Arabidopsis thaliana: one gene and its partner. The protein of the gene in region 1 interacts with the protein of each later gene in a pairwise test. Each region holds a gene or a part of one and is shown in the gene's direction. Other genes may lie near its edges.

What was found. The genes of interacting proteins can lie anywhere in the genome.
Region 2: the proteins of AT5G41770 (region 1) and MYB51 interact in a two-hybrid assay, tested with the Arabidopsis thaliana proteins (one study listed by BioGRID).

Annotation. Positions count from the first base shown.
Region 1 is NC_003076.8:16,716,267-16,721,746, forward strand, and holds AT5G41770 (crooked neck protein, putative / cell cycle protein), read left to right. Parts: upstream 1-1,679; 5' UTR 1,680-1,754; coding exon 1,755-2,914; intron 2,915-3,225; coding exon 3,226-3,291; intron 3,292-3,398; coding exon 3,399-3,543; intron 3,544-3,637; coding exon 3,638-3,856; intron 3,857-3,950; coding exon 3,951-4,164; intron 4,165-4,253; coding exon 4,254-4,449; intron 4,450-4,552; coding exon 4,553-4,670; 3' UTR 4,671-4,956; downstream 4,957-5,480. Other genes in the region: AT5G41765 (DNA-binding storekeeper protein-related transcriptional regulator), read right to left, coding at 286-617, 672-798.
Region 2 is NC_003070.9:6,387,477-6,391,907, forward strand, and holds MYB51 (myb domain protein 51), read left to right. Parts: upstream 1-1,922; 5' UTR 1,923-2,288; coding exon 2,289-2,424; intron 2,425-2,538; coding exon 2,539-2,668; intron 2,669-2,757; coding exon 2,758-3,550; 3' UTR 3,551-3,910; downstream 3,911-4,431. Other genes in the region: AT1G18560 (BED zinc finger and hAT dimerization domain-containing protein), read left to right, coding at 1-529. UniProt on the Arabidopsis thaliana protein: Transcription factor positively regulating indolic glucosinolate biosynthetic pathway genes.

The DNA of each region.
Region 1 (5,480 bases):
AAGAATGAAAGGACGTTAATGAACAAAGATGTGAATGCCAAAAGATTGAAGAAAGATGTGAAAAGGTGAGTTCTCAAAGGTTAGAGTGGAGTGAGGAAGACGAGATCCGTGTGCTACAAGGTATGATGGATTTCAAAGCTGTAACAGTACAAAATCTTTCTAATGATATGAACGTAACTTACGAAATCCTTTAGGAATATATAAGCGTTGATGTTTGTAGCTATGCATTTGTAGAGAAGATGAAGAGTATGAAAAAGAAATTAATGGAGAAAATGAGGATTAACGCTAAAGATTTGTCTTCTTCGGTTCCGAGTTGTTGAAACTTATTTGGGGATGTGATGTGAAATTGGCTTGTTCTATCTTAAGTAAGTTATACTCAACAACAGATTTCACATCATATCTCCAAATCAGTTTTAACAACTCAGAACCGATCGAAGAAGACAGATCTTTAGCGTTAATCCCCATTTTCTCTATTAATTTCTTCTTCAAACTCTTCATCTTCTCTACGAACTCATAGCTATAAACGTCAACGCTTATATATTCATGGAGGAAGTTGTAAGCTCCGGTCATATCATCAGAAGGATTATGCCTTGTTAGAGCTTTGAAATCCATCATACCTTGTAGCACACGATCTCGTCTTTTTCACTTCACTCTAACCTTTGAGAACTTACTTTTCTTGGCATTCACGTTTTTGTTCGTTAACGTTCTTTCGTTCTTCCGTTTCTTTCCAGTTGGCTTAGCTTCACCAGAACCACCACAAACCTCCTTCTTGGACCGGTTGGTATTCGCTTTGTCCATTATCAAAAAATGTTTTAGGTTCTCTGAGAGGAAAAGAGAGCGAGAATTGGTAGAAATTTAAACCAACAAAGCACTTGACTATTTATTTACCTTTTTCTTAGAAATGTGTATTTTTTATTTAATATTCTTTTATAGATTTTATGCTTTTTTGTGATATATATAATTTTGAAAAGAAAATAAATTAAAAGAATTTATATAGTGACATGAATGTTATATAATGAGCCATAATTAAGTCAAACCCAAGATTGGTTCGACAATTCGTTTTTGGTTAAATTGATAGCAAGTGTGGGCGTGAGTGGAGATTCTGTGAAAAGAAGATGGAGTTTGTTGCACACAAACAAGATAAAGATGATTGAAGACAAATGGAGAGTCTTGATGACCAAAGAAGATAAATTTGTGTTGCAAAAGATAGAGCTTTTGCATGAAGTGGTTTCTCTGATCATTTACGTTGAAGCATTTACTCACTAGATGCAAAATGTTTCTTGATTTGCTTTTTTTGTTGGATTTTTCTGTCCAAGTTTTTGCTTTATATTATGTCATTGTTGCTTCTATGTTTAGAATCTGACCTCTATTAAATGTGAAACTTCATTAGTATTTTTGGTTACTATGTTGCTCTTTCGTTGATAACAACTTTGAAATGTTAGTCGCACCAAATTTAGTAAAACCGTTTTCTTATACATGTTACAAAGCTTGCTTGAAGGCTATAACAAAAGATTTCAAAGGGTTTAACAAATTAAACAGATACTAAATTTGTGTTTATTACGGCCCATTAAGAACCCAATTAAGAGCGATATTGGGCTAAGACTGATATTTTAATATTAAACCTATTACGGCCCATTAATAGCCCAATCAATATGTAAACATATGCGTCTTCGTTCCATGTCTCCAATCTTATTTCTTCTTACCCTTTTTTCCAAAATCCAGAAACCCCAGAGAAAGCAAAACCGCGAGCTCTCATGGCTTCCGGCGGCAAAGATTCCGATCGTACCTTAGGGTACATGACACGGAAAGATACAGAAGTCAAGCTTCCAAGACCTACTCGTGTCAAGAACAAAACTCCGGCGCCGATTCAAATAACTGCCGAACAGATATTAAGAGAAGCTCGAGAGAGACAAGAAGCTGAGATCCGTCCTCCCAAGCAAAAAATCACTGATTCCACTGAGCTTTCCGACTACAGACTCCGCCGGAGAAAGGAATTTGAAGACCAGATCCGTCGCGCGAGATGGAACATTCAAGTTTGGGTCAAATACGCTCAATGGGAAGAGTCACAGAAAGATTACGCTCGTGCTCGAAGTGTTTGGGAACGAGCCATAGAAGGAGATTATAGGAACCATACGCTTTGGCTCAAATACGCAGAGTTCGAGATGAAGAACAAGTTTGTGAACAGTGCGAGAAACGTTTGGGATCGAGCTGTTACGCTTCTTCCTCGTGTAGACCAGCTTTGGTACAAGTATATTCATATGGAGGAGATACTTGGGAATATCGCCGGAGCTAGGCAGATTTTTGAACGGTGGATGGATTGGTCACCGGATCAACAAGGTTGGCTCTCGTTTATTAAGTTCGAACTTAGGTATAATGAAATTGAACGTGCTAGAACGATATACGAGAGATTTGTTCTTTGTCATCCCAAGGTTTCGGCTTATATTAGATATGCTAAGTTTGAGATGAAGGGTGGTGAAGTTGCTCGTTGTAGGAGTGTGTATGAACGTGCTACAGAGAAGCTTGCTGATGATGAAGAAGCTGAGATCCTCTTTGTGGCGTTTGCTGAGTTTGAAGAACGTTGTAAGGAAGTGGAAAGGGCTAGGTTTATCTATAAGTTTGCTCTTGATCATATTCCTAAAGGAAGAGCTGAGGATTTGTATAGGAAGTTTGTTGCTTTTGAGAAACAGTATGGTGATAAGGAAGGGATTGAGGATGCCATTGTTGGGAAGAGGAGGTTTCAGTATGAAGATGAAGTGAGGAAGAGTCCTTCCAACTATGATTCGTGGTTCGATTATGTTAGGTTAGAAGAGAGTGTGGGGAACAAAGATAGGATCAGAGAAATCTATGAGAGGGCTATTGCTAATGTTCCACCTGCTGAGGAGAAACGATACTGGCAAAGATATATCTATCTCTGGTGAGTTTTTTCTTTCTCAATTTGGTTTAATGATTTTTGGTAATTACGCATTATCGATTTAGAATTGGAATGTTGGCTTCTTATATTGATCATGGTTTTGATAAGAATGCTAAAATCTTTGAAATTGGTTGTCTTAGGCAGAGATTAGTTCTATCATATATGTCAAGCTTTTAGCACATCCGAGTCATTAAATATATCATATATGAGAACAGAATCTTGCATTCCATGGAAAGCTATTGCTGTTGTATTTTGTTAGCTTATGGTTCTGCGGTTTTCTCAAATACTAATACTGATGTGACTAAATTGTGTAGGATTAATTATGCATTATTTGAAGAGATTGAAACTGAAGATATTGAGCGTACCCGAGATGTTTACAGGTACGCTAAAGTCTATATTCATTTACGTTTTGGTCATGGCTATTTTGTCAAATATCACCTGATAGTTTAAACTAACTAATTTGTCTTTGTCTTACTGAAATTTTCAGAGAGTGCCTTAAGCTTATCCCCCACAGCAAATTTTCTTTTGCCAAAATATGGTTGCTCGCTGCTCAGTTTGAGATAAGGCAATTGAATCTCACGGGTGCTCGCCAGATATTAGGAAATGCGATTGGAAAAGCTCCCAAAGATAAGGTAAGCCTATAAATCGTTTAAACTATGATCGCATTCCTCTCCTTTAGAGACGCAAATGATTTTACTTACCGTGGTGATTTTTGTCTGCAAATAGATATTCAAGAAATACATTGAGATCGAGCTTCAGTTGGGAAACATGGATAGGTGTAGAAAGTTATATGAACGGTATCTTGAGTGGTCTCCTGAGAATTGCTATGCTTGGAGCAAGTATGCTGAACTAGAGAGGTCTCTTGTTGAAACAGAACGAGCTAGAGCTATTTTTGAACTTGCAATATCCCAGCCAGCTCTTGACATGCCTGAGCTGCTTTGGAAGGTAAGTTTTTTAAGTCGAATACATTCATAGAATCGAGATTCCTCAGACTTTTGAAACCAATTGGATAATTGAAATTCTATATTGTTTGTGGCAGGCATACATTGATTTTGAGATATCAGAAGGGGAATTAGAGAGGACAAGGGCTTTATATGAGCGACTCTTGGACCGTACTAAGCATTACAAGGTGTGGGTTAGCTTTGCAAAGTTTGAAGCTTCTGCTGCGGAACTAGAGGAAGACGAGAATGAAGATGAAGACCAGGAAGAAGATGTTATTGAACACAAGAAAGATTGCATCAAACGTGCCAGAGGTAACTTTAAAACTACACATTATATCAGTTTTGATGATTCCTTGCAACATGTTATAACTGTTTATTCTCTCTATATTTCTTCTACTCAGCAATTTTCGATAGAGCCAACACATATTACAAAGACTCCACACCAGAGCTGAAGGAAGAACGAGCTACGCTCTTGGAGGATTGGCTGAACATGGAGAGTAGCTTTGGTAACCTCGGGGATGTTAGTATTGTTCAATCGAAGCTTCCAAAGAAGCTCAAGAAAAGAAAGGCGATCACTAGAGAAGACGGGTCAACAGAGTACGCATTGCGTATATATAATATCTCGATTTTTAATATCTTTCGAATGTGATTAGTTAAATGCTAAAGCTTAACGTGAAAAATTGTTTGAATGTTTAAACAGGTACGAAGAATACATCGATTATTTATACCCAGAAGAATCGCAAACAACGAATCTCAAGATTCTTGAAGCTGCATACAAATGGAAGAAGCAGAAGGTTGCTGCTTCTGAGGATGATTGAGATTAAGCTTTTTTCTTAAGTTATATCAAAAGTCAAAACTGTGAAATGTGTTTTGTATTCTTCCTTAGCTCTTTGTACACATCGTTTGGTTTAGCAGTAATTTTTGTTATCCAAGAACCTAACAAAACTCAAATTTGTCCTGTTATGTTTTGTTTTGGTTCGAATTTTCCGGTTTAGAAATTAATCAGGATACTTCTTCATTCCGGTTTATGTTCTGATCTCTCGGTTTGTGATACGTTTGAAACGGAATCTAGTTTAATCTATATATATACATTTTAGTTTAATCTATATATATATACATTTTTGCTGTGAAATAAATAATGGAGTTGGAACTTATTTATAATCGCTGGCTTATTCAATGCAAAAATTAACTACCAAATCAAAGCAAATCTTATTCAAAACAATATGCTCTTATTCTATGGTCTAATTATTTTTGCTAAAATGGTTAAAATATTTAAAAATTAAATAATCATTTGAAAGAAAACTTTAAATTGATTTAAATTATAAATCTTTTCATAAAAATATTATTAATAAAAAAAAAAAATTCACCGAACATGATTAGATAGTAAGACTAGATGGTAGGGCGTGTTTATAATATTATAATATATAAACTTTATAACAATTAAATAACTATTTGAAAGAAAATTTTTAAATTGATTTGAATTAAATATTTTTTAAATTAAAATATTATTAAAACAAAAATAACAAAATAATGTCTAATTTTACTGAACGGGGTTAGTGGTAGGACGAGTTTGGTCGATAGTATTACGAGACGGTATACCACAAGTGAAATCCATTAGATATGTTTAA
Region 2 (4,431 bases), on another chromosome or scaffold:
AAGTCATTTCATTCGTAACTATTCTTCCTCTCATTTCACATCTTCAATGACTAGCGGGTATCGTCCTCAGGAGGTAGATGAAGGAGGAGGAAATATCTCATTTGCAGAGGAAATCGCTAGAAGGAAAAGAAGAGGAAGTATGAGTAACAATGTTGTTGATGAACTGACTCAGTACTTATCAGAGTCTATAGTTCCAATGCAGACTGATGTGCTTGATTGGTGGAAGGTAAACAGTGGAAGATACCCGCGACTTTCCAACATGGCTCGGGATTTCCTTGCGGTTCAGGCGACTTCTGCTGCACCGGAAGAGATCTTTTGTGGTAAAGGAGAAGAGATTGATAAGCAGAAGTATTGCATGCCTCATGATAGCACACAATCTGTTATTTGTATCAGATCATGGATTGAAGCTGGTATGAAACTGAAGTACAAGTGTAGTGAGATTGACTATGAACGACTAATGGAGTTAGCTGCCACCGTGGCCGCTGATAATTCTGCCGGAGGTTTAGAAAAAATTCAACAACATAGGTGAGATTATTTTTTAGTATTTGTACTAAAGAACTACTGTAATTTAGTTGTCATACTTTTAGCATGAATCATTGAATTTAGAGTTGGGTTGATGTAAACCAAGCTGGTTAGCTTTCTTCATAACCGTATGTACTTTCATATCATATTAGAGAGAAAAAAAAACACAATGTTGACTAATTAATGGGTTCTGTCTAACTAGAAAAGTGGAAATTAGTTGTACGAAAAAAGAAAATAGCTTATCTCTTTCTTTGTACCTTAGATTTTTCCTTGGTATAATGGATATCGATATGTCCAAGTCCAGTGTTTGAGTGACCAAGTTGTTGCTTTAATTTAATCTAGTTCAAATACGACTACTTTTGTGTTGTACCTCTCTACCTTACCTTCCTCGAATTTTCAATTCGTGTGCTAGTTTGCCAATTGTTTCTTTATAATTTTGTCGTCTCTATGATTGTTTAAGCATATTTAAATATTTGAGAGAAAAAAATACTAAGAGTTCAGTCGTATTTTGAAAAGTCCTCGCACTCCAAGTTTTAAAGTTGAATTCATTCTGTCATGGAAACGTACCTTTGTGGTTTTTCATTTCGATAGACATTTTTTAACTCTTCTGATAAATTCAAAATGTTTTTTTACATTGGTTAAAATTTGTTGCCAATTTCAATAAAGCTTTTTTTTTACTCGTTATAAAATTAAAAACTTGCTGAGAAATTATAGTTTCATATATACTTTGGACCGACGGTCAATACCAAAAAACTAAAATAAAATTTTGGTCAAGAATCGGGTCAATACAAAATATCTCCAAAGATCGAAGAGAAAGTTCAACAGGATTTTAATTTAATTGGTGTTCCGGACCTGCCGGCGCCGTATTATAATTCTTCAATAAATTTTATATTTTGGATTGCATAATCAAAACTATTTGCATAGCAGACATAGATTTCAAAATAAATTGATACGTAATTAGCTATTTACATAGGCAAGACAATTTTACGTTACATATTTTGCATGCTTGATATTCATTCTTTTTTTTTAGCAACCTTTGCTATATTCATTCTATTTTTTCCCCTTTTTTTGCTACTATCAATATCATATCAGATGTGGCGGTTCTTATGCATGGGATTATGAAAAATGATATTATATAATAGATGTCTTCGTAGTATTTTTTTATTGACAATCAAAATAAAATAAATTAGTTTAAGAAAGATCAAAAGTCTAGTGTCAAAATGTCCACTGACAAAAGTTAGCAGTTTTTCTTTTATGTAATAATCCGATTATAAAAAATTGCGTTAAGGAATCATAATGAGCCATGTGTCAGTCATATTTAAACGACGACGTTGGCAGCAGCCACACGTACAGCCTCAGGCAAGCATAAATAGAGATGGGCTCTTTCCTATAAGTTTCCCACTTTGCAAAGTGTAACACAAACAGTTCTCTTTAGAGAAAAAAAGATTCTCTCTATAAAACCTTCTCTTTGTGTCTCTCTTTGTGGTAAGAAAACAGAGCAACTAGATCTCTCTTCTCCTCTGCTCGTTCAATGTTATAACGATCTCGAGTATCACAAAAGAACAAGATGTCTATTCGAAGAATCTACCGATGTCTGAATTCTTTAATCAAAAGATCTTGTGCTCAATCTCTATGATCATACGCCCCATTTCACACTTTGTTTCACCTCTCAGTTTTTTTTTTTGTGTTTTTTTGTCCCTCTTTGTTTCACTTGAGAACAACCCCCTTTGAACTCGATCAAGAAAGCTAAGTTTGAAGAATCAAGAATGGTGCGGACACCGTGTTGCAAAGCTGAACTAGGGTTAAAGAAAGGAGCTTGGACTCCCGAGGAAGATCAGAAGCTTCTCTCTTACCTTAACCGCCACGGTGAAGGTGGATGGCGAACTCTCCCCGAAAAAGCTGGTATGTATTATTTTTTATTATGTTTATTCCGTCATGTTTGAATATTCAATGTTGGACCTTTATTGGTCATTATTGCTCAATTATTTTACTTAAATAATTCTTCTAATTGGATAGGACTCAAGAGATGCGGCAAAAGCTGCAGACTGAGATGGGCCAATTATCTTAGACCTGACATCAAAAGAGGAGAGTTCACTGAAGACGAAGAACGTTCAATCATCTCTCTTCACGCCCTTCACGGCAACAAGTTAGTCTCTCTACCTCTACATTTTATACTTATTTTTTGTTTGCATTAACATTTACTAATATTGTAATCTTATATGTGGTTTTAATCAGATGGTCTGCTATAGCTCGTGGACTACCAGGAAGAACCGATAACGAGATCAAGAACTACTGGAACACTCATATCAAAAAACGTTTGATCAAGAAAGGTATTGATCCAGTTACACACAAGGGCATAACCTCCGGTACCGACAAATCAGAAAACCTCCCGGAGAAACAAAATGTTAATCTGACAACTAGTGACCATGATCTTGATAATGACAAGGCGAAGAAGAACAACAAGAATTTTGGATTATCATCGGCTAGTTTCTTGAACAAAGTAGCTAATAGGTTCGGAAAGAGAATCAATCAGAGTGTTCTGTCTGAGATTATCGGAAGTGGAGGCCCACTTGCTTCTACTAGTCACACTACTAATACTACAACTACAAGTGTTTCCGTTGACTCTGAATCAGTTAAGTCAACGAGTTCTTCCTTCGCACCAACCTCGAATCTTCTCTGCCATGGGACCGTTGCAACAACACCAGTTTCATCGAACTTTGACGTTGATGGTAACGTTAATCTGACGTGTTCTTCGTCCACGTTCTCTGATTCCTCCGTTAACAATCCTCTAATGTACTGCGATAATTTCGTTGGTAATAACAACGTTGATGATGAGGATACTATCGGGTTCTCCACATTTCTGAATGATGAAGATTTCATGATGTTGGAGGAGTCTTGTGTTGAAAACACTGCGTTCATGAAAGAACTTACGAGGTTTCTTCACGAGGATGAAAACGACGTCGTTGATGTGACGCCGGTCTATGAACGTCAAGACTTGTTTGACGAAATTGATAACTATTTTGGATGAGTGAAACTCATAATCGATGAATCCCACGTGACCATGTCAATATGATGTCTATGGATATGTTACCTTGATGATGTTGATGGTAATAATAATAAATAATGATGGTGATGATGACCATGCATGAATCATGAATGTAGTTCGTGTTGTCACATATGCTTGTGTTTTTGTGTTTTTTTTTTTTGGTCTGAAGTGTGTTGTTTCGTTGTAAATGGATTATAAATGGTGATGTAATAATTATAATGTTAACGAGTTGTTAACTTTAGTACTTTTATTGTGTTGGTTATCAGAATTTGTATCCATCCGAATATGAGATTGCTTTATTTTGAAAAATCATTCATTAGCTGCTGCTGCTGCTAACTACTAGTACCATTGCTATTTTAAATTTTAATTGGCAGTATTCCACTATTAGGTCATCTTCATCTGTAAGATACTTTAAAAGGTTTTAAAATAAAATAAAAAATTACTGTAATTTAATTTTGTAATTATTTTTTTTTAAAAAAAATATTCAATTATAAGCAAACACTTATAGAAATAGTCTTTCACTGATTATTCCAAAATTTCTCAAGAAACGTTTCTTCATTTTTTGTCATTCTCTCTCCTCATTTATTAATTATTTATATTATCTTTATCAAAAGAAACTCTAAAAATTGTATGGATGGAGATGCTCTGGTTTATTTTATGAGTTAGGGCTAATAGATTGAGCAGATTGGTAAAGAAATATATCCTCAACCAGTTTTGTATATTAAAAAAAAAACCAACGATTAACTTATTTTGTGACTTAAATCTTTCATTCTCTAATGTATATAAAATTCACCCTATCAACATACGAATAATATTCAGCAATGAGACCCACATAAATTTAAAGCAAGCGAGAGGATCATTCT